Macaca fascicularis: one gene and its partners. The protein of the gene in region 3 interacts with the protein of the main gene of each other region in a pairwise test. Links are inferred from orthologs where the notes say so. Each region holds a gene or a part of one and is shown on either strand. Other genes may lie near its edges.

Region 1 (3,193 bases), on a different chromosome or scaffold from region 3:
CTACTCTCTCTCTGGGTGAGGCATCATTGTACTGACCCCAGAAGCACTAAGTGATTGAAGAGGACAGTCTATTTTCTGTTTGGAAAAAAAAATTCAATACTAAAATCTTATAGTAACAAAAAGCTTTTTTTTTTTTAAATCAAACAAAGTACATAAAATAAAGGTGGGCACAACGCTAAGTGATCACCAACCAGGGGATGTTTGGGATTTTTAGATGCATTAAAAGGGAGTATAGAGAATATCCACCAGCAAATAAGATTGTATTTTTTTGCAACCCTATGATTTTCAAATGGCTCCTAAACACAGTCTTTGGTCAGGATAAGGGATTCTGCAGGCCTAGCCTTACCGTTCACATCAAATATAGGTGGAGGGATGCCATATTCTCCACATTTGGAGCTCTGTCAGGCTGCTCCCTTTCCACCAGTCCTATCCAGTGATACTGCACACACAGGGTGAGGCAACAGGAGACATCATACTGATGTTGATCAGGAAAGGAAGAAGGTGCAATCTTACTTCCAGGATTTCACATTTGGAAGAATGCCTTGGGAGTGGTGGGTAGCCCAAAGCTCTTCCCAGGAAAAGAAGCAGGCACAGGGCCCAGGACTCAGGCTCCATTTTGACCCAACGTTTATTGTCCTTTTACAACATGTCATTTTTTGGTTTAGAAACTGCTTGTGATTAGTTTTCCAACATTAACTCAAAAGCATGTAAAATAAATCAACCTACTCTCTATATAAACACCCAGCAACTGTGGCCCCTACTCACCTACCCAGGTTGGATAGGGGGAAGGGAGGGCTCGGGCAGCATTGAGTCAAGTGCAGATGCTTTACTGTGGCAGGTGGCAGTAGTGCCTTGGTTCACACCCCACACAGGTCCCCTGCACTGCCCCAAACTACAACAGAAATGGCATAGGCCCAAGGCCCAATTCCCTGTTGGTAATTCACTCTCCACCTACCAAATGAAAATCGCTTTTATTTTTTCGCTTTTGTTTTGTATTTTTGCAACAGAAACCCCCTGTCCAGAGTCAGACTGTAGCTGAACTGTTCAGACTGAAGAATGGAGCAGGCTGTGGGCGCACCCCTGGTCCCTCTCCTGGGCAAGCGCCCCCACCCCCAGGGAACAAGGTCCGGGCAGGCCAGCTCACTGCATGCTGGCCACCACCACTTAGCCATACAGGTCATCGTCATTGTCTTCTGTGTATACACTGCCACCTGTGCCGCCTCCACTGCCCTGACTGGGGCCAGCTCCACCCTGGTTCCCTGAAGGGAATCTGTGTACGAGAGCAAAGCCAAAAAAGACGGTTAGGACAGAGCCTGTGTAAGATTTCCACAACTACCCCTCTAGCTTCCTTAGGACTCCCATTCCCTTTTTGGTGTAGGTCCCCAAAGTAACTTAAGCACTGTCTAAGGCTCCCAACCAAGTTACCTGAAGCTGCCAAAGCCCCGACTCTGCTGAAGGGTCTGGGCGAACATCTCGTACTTCCGAATGTCATTGTCACTGACAGAACGGCGCGCAAAGCGCATGGCTTCTTCAAAGTGATCTCGACGGATCTCAGGCACTGGATCATCCTCTTCTACCTCCTATAGTTGGTAAACACAGATCACTAGGGCTTAATACTTTAAAATGCCAATAGTTTTCAGTGTTTACCACATTTGGATTACATCCTACCCAGTGGTCTCGCTTTCAGTGACATATATACTCTAAAATATACTCAGGGTTTCCCAATGATTGCAATCCTACTACTAGAGCACATTATTTGGGCTGCTTATTCCCTTTATTCAAATTATACTCTCTTCACAGCCCAGCTCAAAACCTATCTCTTCCATTGAGAGGCCAATTGCTGTGACTTATGAGACTGCTTCCTAGGATTAGTTCATAAGTAGTTTTAAGCTTTTATGGGTGAGAGAAGGTCACAGACCCTTCAAAACAGAAAGAAAGCCATTTATTTGCTCATTCATTAAGTCCCATGTTTGGAACTTAATGAATTAATTAAGGGTAACACAGGACATAGTGGAAAACAAGTGAGATGACAGAGATCCTACCTTTATGGAGCTTACACACACATGAATTTGTCTTTTCATTTTGGGAGGACTGTGGACCCCATCCCTTCCCCAACCATCAGGGACAGGTATATGGGTCTCATCTCAGTTCAAAACCTTGCTCTGCAGCTCACGCCTGTAATCCCAGCACTTTGAAAGCCCAAGGCGGGCGGATCACAAGGTCAGAAGATCGAGACCATCCTGGCTAACACGGTGAAACCCCGTCTCTACTAAAAAAAAATACAAAAAACTAGCCGGGCGTGGTGGCATGCACCTGTAGTCCCAGCTACTCGGGAGGCTGAGGCAGGAGAATGGCTTGCACCTGGGAGGCGGAGGTTGCAGTGAGCCGAGATCGCGCCACTGCACTTCGGTCTGGGCAACAGAGCAAGACTTCGTCTCAAAAAAAACAAAAACAAGAACAAAAACCTTGCTCTGTTTGGTGCACTCTCATACTTTGATTTCCCTCATGGAGCTTGGTTTAGACTGAGAATGGAGCCTGCCCATCTCTTCTCGGCCTTATTCCAAATTGAATGGATTCACCTCAGTATTCTTTATCTTTGATGCCCTATTAACATTCTTCTCAGATGATCTTTTCAACAACTTCTACTCTCAACTCTAGGGCATGGTGGTGGCTGCTGCCTGGCTCCCCATGACTGGCACATCTGGGGAAAGGATACAGACTCACCATGGCTGATGGGTTTGTCTGCCTCTCTCGTTCTCGCCTAATCTCACTTTCGATGGATTCACGGATGGCCAGCTTGCAAGCACGCTGGCAAATCTCTGTAAGGTCAGCTCCAGAGAAGCCATTAGTCATTTTAGCCAGGAACTCCAAGTCCACATCCTAAAAGAAGCAGCAGAGCTACCTTAGCATTTAGCCTCTTCTCTCTTGAGATACACAGATCTTTGGGCCATCCAAGCACTCCCAACTAGTTTGCCCCTTCTTTGGCCACCCCATTTTATTCCTGATTCTAGATTATCTTAATACCCTCAAAAATTCTACCTTCCCTTTAGACCAACCCTAACCCCAAAGCAATCTTGTCCAGAACCCAAAGAGCACTCTATACCAGACTGAGGACTCATAGAAGTCTCCCACAGCCCATGATCCTGCACCTGCCTTGGCAACTGGGGACTTGCGCAGGTTAGCCTTGAGGATG
Region 2 (3,650 bases), on a different chromosome or scaffold from region 3:
AGCATGGCTCCTCACCTCCCCTCATTGGATCCTTGGCCACCAACTTCAGGTATCAATCCTTGGGGGTCTAAGCTGGGGGATGCCCTCTCCCTTCCAGGCTCTGGAGGCTGTGAACAGGCGGCTGCGGGAGCTGTACCCCGATAGTGAGGACGTCTTCGACATTGTCCTCATGACCAACAACCATGCTCAAGTGGGTGTCCGCCTCATCAACAGTATCAACCACTATGGTGAGCATGAGCATGAGGATGGGGGGTTTGCCCTGGGACACCCCTACCAGACCCCCAGGGATGGGGCCACACCTCTGCAGGATGGAGTTGTACTGACCGGAACCCCAAGCCCAGTGTGTGCTGGTCAATTCGCTGTTTAAACAAACAAACAAAGAAAACCCTGATTTGTAGTGTTGCTAGTTTTCAGGGTGTAAATATTTCCACCAGGACTGGTTTCAAGCTATCAGTGGTTGAACAATACAAATGGCTCACAAAATTTCTGAGTGTTTACCTGTGGGCTCTTGCAAGCCTGTCCAAGTCAGCTCCAGCACACCCCACTCTCAGTGTGATTAGGTGGGACACTTACTGCCTCCCTGCCTCAGTTTCTCTAACTGTGATGGGGCTAACAGGTCTCACAAGGCTGCTGGGAGAATCAGGTGCAGCTGTCAGAGCGAAAGGGCTTTGCGTCTTAGTCTAAACTCAAGGTTAAAAATAATAGACCCTCCAGAGCTAGCTTAAGCCCAGGAGAATTTCTTATTAGGTTACAGGGGTGTCTTTCAGAGGACAGGAAATAAAATTGGGCCTACAAAGGCCTGAATCCAAGTACTGGAAATATCTCCCAGGATCTTCTTTTCTTCAGGCCACATGAACATTTATTTGTGCTTCTCTAGCAAGTTTGCTCTTTTTTTTTTTTTTTCCTCTCTCCCCTGAAATTGGATTTCTCTGCTTTTCCTAAATAAAAACCATATTCAAGAAAACCAGGCCAGGCGCGGTGGCTCATTCCTGTAATCCCAGCACTTTGGGAGGCCAGGGCAGGTGGAACACTTGAGGTCAGGAGGTCAAGACCAGCTTGGCTAATATGGTAAAATCCTGTCTCTACTAAAAACACAAAAATTAGCCTGGCGTGGTGGTGCACACCTGTAATCCCAGCTACTCAGGAGGCTGAGCCATGAGAATCACTGGAGAGGAGAGGAGAGGAGAGGAGAGGGGAGGAGAGGGGAGGGGAGATCCACTTTAGGGAGAGAGAGAGAGACAGAAAAATAATACACCTGATGGGGCTCGGTGACTCGCGCCTGTAATCCCAGCACTTTGGGAGGCCGAGGTGTGCAGATCACGAAGTCAGGAGATCGCGACCATCCTGGCTAACAGGGTGAAACCCTGTCCCTACTAAAAATACAAAAAAATTAGCCGGGCGCGGTGGTGGGCACCTGTAGCCCCAGTTACTCGAGAGGCTGAGGCAGGAGAATGGTGTGAACCCGGGAGGCAGAGCTTGCAGTGAGCCGAGATCACGCCACTGCACTCCAGCCTGGGCGACAGAGAGAGACTCTGTTAAAAAAAAAAAAAAAAAAAAAAAAGAATACACCTATATTTATAGGTTTACAAGGCCTGGTTTTTAGCAACCAAAAAAGTCTAGTAGGCATTTTTAAATCCTAATTTCAAATTGCTGGGAGCAGGATTGATATTAAAAATGTTTAACCACCTGTGTGACATCCACACTGCGTAATCAGGACAGACCCTCCCTATAGTGCTGAAGCAGGGCTCTGAAGGACCCCTGCCATACCAGGCATTACCACCTTCTGTTGTGGACTCTGGGGAGGACAGAGGTCCTGGGTAAGGGGCTGCGAGAGTGACGGGTAACTTAAATGGGCTCAGAGCAGCAGCCGGTTTATCAACCAACAAATACTTTACAACCTTTGCAGTGATGAGGACCAGTGGACTGGCAGCCTAGGTAATCAGATTGGCTCAGCTTGGGTCAGGTGTCTGCTCTTATCCAATCAGCTATGACCAGGAGGCGGGGTCACACAAGCATGTAGCACTGTGATTCCTTGACAAGAGAATGTCCCTGTGAGCTGGGCAATTGCTCTAGAGATGTGATTGTCCGCACTTCACGAAGGATGGAGGGGCTCAGAGGGGAACACTGGCCTAAAAATCACACAGAGCCACTCTGTGCTGCCGTACCACACCCAGAACTAGGATGGCGTCCACTGGACACAGAGAGACTGCCCGGAAGCCCAGGGTTGACCCTGGCCTCATCTGGGTCCTTTACCTCCTTCCCAGACCTGTTTATCGAGAGGTTCTGCATGACAGGTGGGAACAGCCCCATCTGCTATCTCAAGGCCTATCACACCAACCTCTACTTGTCAGCCGATGCGGAAAAAGTGCGAGAAGCCATTGATGAAGGTAAGTCTAAGTGAGGAGGGAGAATATGGGGAGTGCAGCAAAGGGGTCCCTGAGGTGGAAGGCCTGGTCCTAAAGTTCTGAGCAGGTGCTGGGAGTTGCCATGGTAACTAGAAGGCAAGGCTACACAATACTTTCCTTAATTCTTATAATCTGTCCTATAAGTTCTGAAAGTAAGGCCCTACCCATTCCATCTTCCTACTTCTGGCCCTACTGTGTCATGAATGCTTTTACTACTCAGCATCACCCAGCTTTCTGTTTCCATGGAAACCCTCTCTACAGCCCAGACAGCTACTTTCTTCCATGATTTCTCCAAGTCAGAAGGAGTTCTGATTCCTGTAGAACCAAAGGCAGCCTCTGCCCTGTCCTGGGCCAATGGGGAGGAGGATTCGTATCTAGTCCAGCCTGAATGGTAGGATCTGGGGAATGGCCATCATCTCCAGCAGCTGGGCTGGCCAGTGCTTAGGGGAGTTTAGGAGACCCAGATGCAAGTACTGACAAAGAGAATGTCCCTCTATGTGTGTCTTCTTTATTTTTTTTATTTTTTTATTTTTATTTTTTTATTTTTGAGACGGAATCTCACTCTGTCTCCCAGGCTGGTGCAGTGGCGTGATCTCGGCTCACTGCAAGCTCTGCCTCCTGGGTTCACGCCATTCTCCCCCTTCAGCCTCTGAGTAGCTGGGACTATAGGCGCCCGCCACCATGTCTGGCTAATTTTTTGTGTTTTTAGTAGAGACGGGGTTCCACCATGTTAGCCAGGATAGTATGTGTCTTTCCAGGGGCAGTTTTGGGTGGTATCCATATTCTCAGTCCTCCCAACGAGGTGCGTATCCTATTGCAGGTGGGAGAAAACAGGCCCATACAGGAGAAAGGACTGGCCAGCTGCCTGAGAGGGCTCGTTAAGCTGAACACTAGTGGCAAGTTTCTTTATCAACCAACAATATATTCAGTTTTCTCTTCCTCTTTCATGTTGCCTGCTGCCTGGAAGCCTGGTCTCTCTCCCCCGATAACTCACTCCCCTGAGCTGCTTTGGAGCTCCTAGAGGCTTTCTTTAACCAGGAACCAGGAGCCATTTTCCTAGACAGATGTCATACCCTCTGGTTGGGGCCTTGGCACTGGCATGTAGGTGTGCCTCTGTGTGTTCGTAACTTGACCTCAGGCTAAGGAGCAAGATAATGGTCCACGGGGAGGCCCTGCTGAGGGTAGGGGTGGTTCTGGATCATCTTGGTTCCAGTGCTGGCAGAGCTGAGAAGGTGCTTGGCTTGA
Region 3 (3,750 bases):
CAAGCGATTCTCCTGCCTCAGCCTCCCGAGTGTCTGGGACTACAGGCGCGCGCCTCCACGCCCAGCTAATTTTTGTATTTTTAGTAGAGACGGAGTTTCACCATTTTGGCCAGGCTGGTCTCGAACTCCTGACCTCGTGATCCACCCGCCTCGGCCTTACCAAGTGCTGGGATTAAAGGCCTGAGCCACGGCGCCCGGCCCTAAATACTATTTTAACAATATGGTGTCTTTTCTTCCAGACTGCCAGTAAATGAACAAACACATGATTAACACAAAAAGGATACCATATGGACTCTTTAAACTTTTTTTTTCAAATTTACTATATCAGGAAATTAATATATCTTTTCGAGCCAATAGATATAGGTCTTCCAATTTAAAAGATTAAGTTACAATAGAGTGAGATTTGGGGTGCTATCCCTTTCGGAAAGCGTCCTCGATGCGGTCATATTGGAATTAACCTCCACTCCCCTCCTCTTCTCTGGGCTCCCGCGGACTCCAGGCTGAGTGCTGAAGTGTGGATTTTCACACCCAAACCTCTGTTATTTCAGTGTCTCACCTGGCTTCTCCACAGCGCAGAAGCTCAGCCCCAAGTTGGAAGAGCCTCCCCGGGAGATTCACAGCGAAGCGCTATTCAGGGCCCAACTCCAAGCCCAAACCTAGCTCCACCCTAAGCCGCCGCCAAAGACCCCTCTTCTCCCAAACCTCACCGGGGCCCCGCCCCTGACTCCGCCCACGAGAGCCCAAGCCTCCAGTCCTGCCCCACCCCGGGCTCCACCCACCAGCCGGGCTCCGCCTACCCGGAAGCACGCAGTCCTCCTCGTCCCGGGCTCCGCCCACCGGGAGCTCTCGCCGCTCACCCCACCCCGGACCCGCCCACTTCGCTTGGGCTCCACCTTCCCAGGAACTGGCGCCGCTTGCCCGAGCTCTGCCCATTTCGTCCCGGGCTTCCCGCGCTGAGAACTCGTGCTGCGAGCCCCGCCCACCGCGCTCCTGGCCCCACCGCCCGGAAACTGTCCCGGCCGCCCCGGGCTCCTCCCACCCCGCCCTGAGAGCCCGCGCGGGCCGCTACACGCCCGCCCTTTCCTACGTGTGGTCCAGTCGGTCTTCCTCCGGCGTCGGCGCTGGCCGAGCTAGCTGGCCATGGAGGGTAATGGCCCCACTGCCGTCCACTACCAGCCGGCCAGTCCCCCGCGGGACGCCTGTGTCTACAGCAGCTGCTACTGGTGAGGGGGCGCGGGCGCAGCCTCTGGGTCTCCCAGGCTCCCGGGCCGCGAGTTGCAACCAGGCCCCGCCTCTTCCCGGCCCCTGCTCGGGGGCGCTCCCGGCCTCTACCGGCGGGTTCTACAGTTCTGCGGGAGTAGGGAGCGGGAATGGCAGCTCTTGTCTCTTGAGTAGAGCGTGGGCTGTTGGATGGGGTTGGGAATTCGTCCGGAATCCTAGGGTCGATAGTGCATTACCTGTGCCTGGCGCTTGTCGGTTGGATTTGCTCAGCAGATCTCTGCTTCGGGGCTAGGAAGGGTGGAGCTCTGAAAACCTTTGGAAGTTACTCTGCTGAAGCATGTGGGGTTTCAGACTGAGGCGAAGGTCATTTTAATTTTGGAAGAGAATGGAAGCACAGAGAGTTTGGGATAACTTCCCAAGGTCACCCAGCTAATAGCAGCCAGGAATCCAGTTCGGGCTCTCTGGCACCAGAAACCATGATCTTAACCATGTTGTCATTATAATAATGGTTACATTCACACAGCACTTGCTATATGCCACGCGTTGTTCTGGGTGGTTTAGGTAAACTAAATCACTGAGTATCACAATAACCCTAAGAGGTAGGTATTGTTATCCCCAGTTTAAAGATGAGAGCACTGAAGCACAGAGGGCTGCAAGTAATTTGCGCAGGGCCACATCACTTGTGAATGAAGGAGTGGGGATTTACAGGCAGAGTCTGGCCCCGGAGTCCATGCTCTGCACCCCTGTCCTAGGCCACCTCTGCAGCTGAAGCACCGCCCCTGCCTTGGTCCTTTTTCATTCCCATGCCTACTCTTTCCTGAGTAATGGTTTCTCCCCCAGCTTCTAGTCCTTGCACAGGAACCCTCAGTGCTATCTAAAACTACCCTTCCCCCTTCTGCTTGTCACTAAATCAATGCCACCGAGCATTTGTTCGGCCCTGATTGCATGTCAGGCTCAGTGGCAGGTGCTTCCATCGATGTCCATGAGTAGCTTCTTTTACTATCGTTATCCTCATTTTACTAATAAAAAGAGTGAGCCACAGAGAGGCTGTTGTGTGCCCCCAAATCACACATCTAGCAAGTGGTGGTGCTGAAACTGGAACATCTTCGTGATTTTGAAGTTCATGCATCTTAACTGCTGCACTCTTTTTCTGTCCTGCCTCTTCTAAATCCCGTTAGTTCTCCTCCCTAATGTCCATTGTTTTATTCATTCATTCAATAAATGTGTATTAGGCACTTGGAGTATGTGGCCCACTTCTGGGCACTGGAGATACAGCAGTGAACAAGATCGACAAATTCACTCATGGATCCCTTGGTTCTTGTGTTTTGATGAGAGAAAAGCAGATAAGGTCCGGTGCGATGGCTCACGCCTGTAATTCCAGCACTTTGGGAGGCTGAGGTGGGCGGATCACTTGAGGCCAGGAGTTTGAGACCAGGCTGGCCAACATGCAGAAAGGCTGCCTCTACTAAAAATACAAAAATTAGCCAGGTGTGGTGGCACACGCCTGTAATCCCAGCTACTCGGGAAGCTGAGGCAGGAGAATCGCTTGAACCCGGGAGGAGGAGATTCCTGTGAGCCGATGCCACTGCACTCCAGCCTGGGAAACAGAGCGAGATTCCATCTCAAAAAAAAAGGCAGACAAAAACAAGTAAACCATGTTTGGGTGGTGTTAAGTGCTGTGAGAAAAATAAGATAAAGGATGGTGGCTTATTTTCTATTAGGATATTTTGAGAAGACATTGTTGATAAGGTGATATTTGAACAGAGATCTGAAAAAAGAGGGTGAGAGCTTTGCATCTATTGGAGGATGGTCATTTAAGCAGGGAGAACAGCAGGTACAAAGGCTCTGAGAAGGAATTGTGCTGTATGATAGAAACAGTGAGGAGACTGGTACAATTGGAGTATCAGAGTTAGAGCAGTCTTGTAGAAGAATGGTAAGAGTTGACCACTCTACCGCAGGATTTCTCCGCCTAGGTTCGAGTTGACATTTTGAGCATGATAATTCTTTGCTATGGGGGCTGTCCTGTGTATTGCAGGACATGTAGCAGCGTCCCTGGCCTCTACCCACTAGATGCTGTTAGCACCCTAGCTCTAGTTGTGACAACCAAAAATGTCTCCAGACATTGCTAAGTGTCCTGTAGGGCTTGGGGGGCAAAATCGCCTTTTGCTGAGAAACAGTGCTCTACCCTGTCTGAACATGTCAGGTGGGGGCACTGCACTACTTTGGCTCCTGCAGCTTTGTGGGGTTTTTTTATTTTTGAGACGGAGTCTCAGTCTATCACCCAGGCTGGAGTGCAGTGGTGCCATCTCGGCTCACTGCAACCTCTGCCTCCCAGGCTCAAGCCATTCTCCTGCCTCAGCCTCCCGAGTAGCTGGGACTACAGGCACCCACCACCATGCCCGGCTCATTTTTGTATTTTTAGTAGAGATGAGGTTTCACCACAGTGGCCGGGCTGGTCTCAAACTCCTGACCTCAGGTGATCCACCCGCCTCGGCCTCCCAAAGTTCTGGGATTACAGGCATGAGTCAC

What was found. The genes of interacting proteins can lie anywhere in the genome.
Region 1: the proteins of NTAQ1 (region 3) and VCP interact in binary tests that used the Homo sapiens proteins (3 or more experiments, as listed by UniProt). The two-hybrid records come from large-scale screens. The link is inferred for Macaca fascicularis from reciprocal best matches to the Homo sapiens genes NTAQ1 and VCP.
Region 2: the proteins of NTAQ1 (region 3) and NT5C1A interact in binary tests that used the Homo sapiens proteins (3 or more experiments, as listed by UniProt). The two-hybrid records come from large-scale screens. The link is inferred for Macaca fascicularis from reciprocal best matches to the Homo sapiens genes NTAQ1 and NT5C1A.

What each region holds. Positions count from the first base shown.
Region 1 is NC_088389.1:64,373,428-64,376,620, reverse strand, and holds the end of VCP (transitional endoplasmic reticulum ATPase), read right to left. Parts: coding exon 3,154-3,193; intron 2,881-3,153; coding exon 2,725-2,880; intron 1,581-2,724; coding exon 1,426-1,580; intron 1,271-1,425; coding exon 1,165-1,270; 3' UTR 611-1,164; downstream 1-610. UniProt on the Homo sapiens protein: Necessary for the fragmentation of Golgi stacks during mitosis and for their reassembly after mitosis. Involved in the formation of the transitional endoplasmic reticulum (tER).
Region 2 is NC_088375.1:195,235,530-195,239,179, forward strand, and holds part of NT5C1A (cytosolic 5'-nucleotidase 1A), read left to right. Parts: intron 1-97; coding exon 98-227; intron 228-2,264; coding exon 2,265-2,387; intron 2,388-3,650.
Region 3 is NC_088382.1:133,061,451-133,065,200, forward strand, and holds the start of NTAQ1 (protein N-terminal glutamine amidohydrolase), read left to right. Parts: upstream 1-1,096; 5' UTR 1,097-1,140; coding exon 1,141-1,223; intron 1,224-3,750. UniProt on the Homo sapiens protein: Mediates the side-chain deamidation of N-terminal glutamine residues to glutamate, an important step in N-end rule pathway of protein degradation.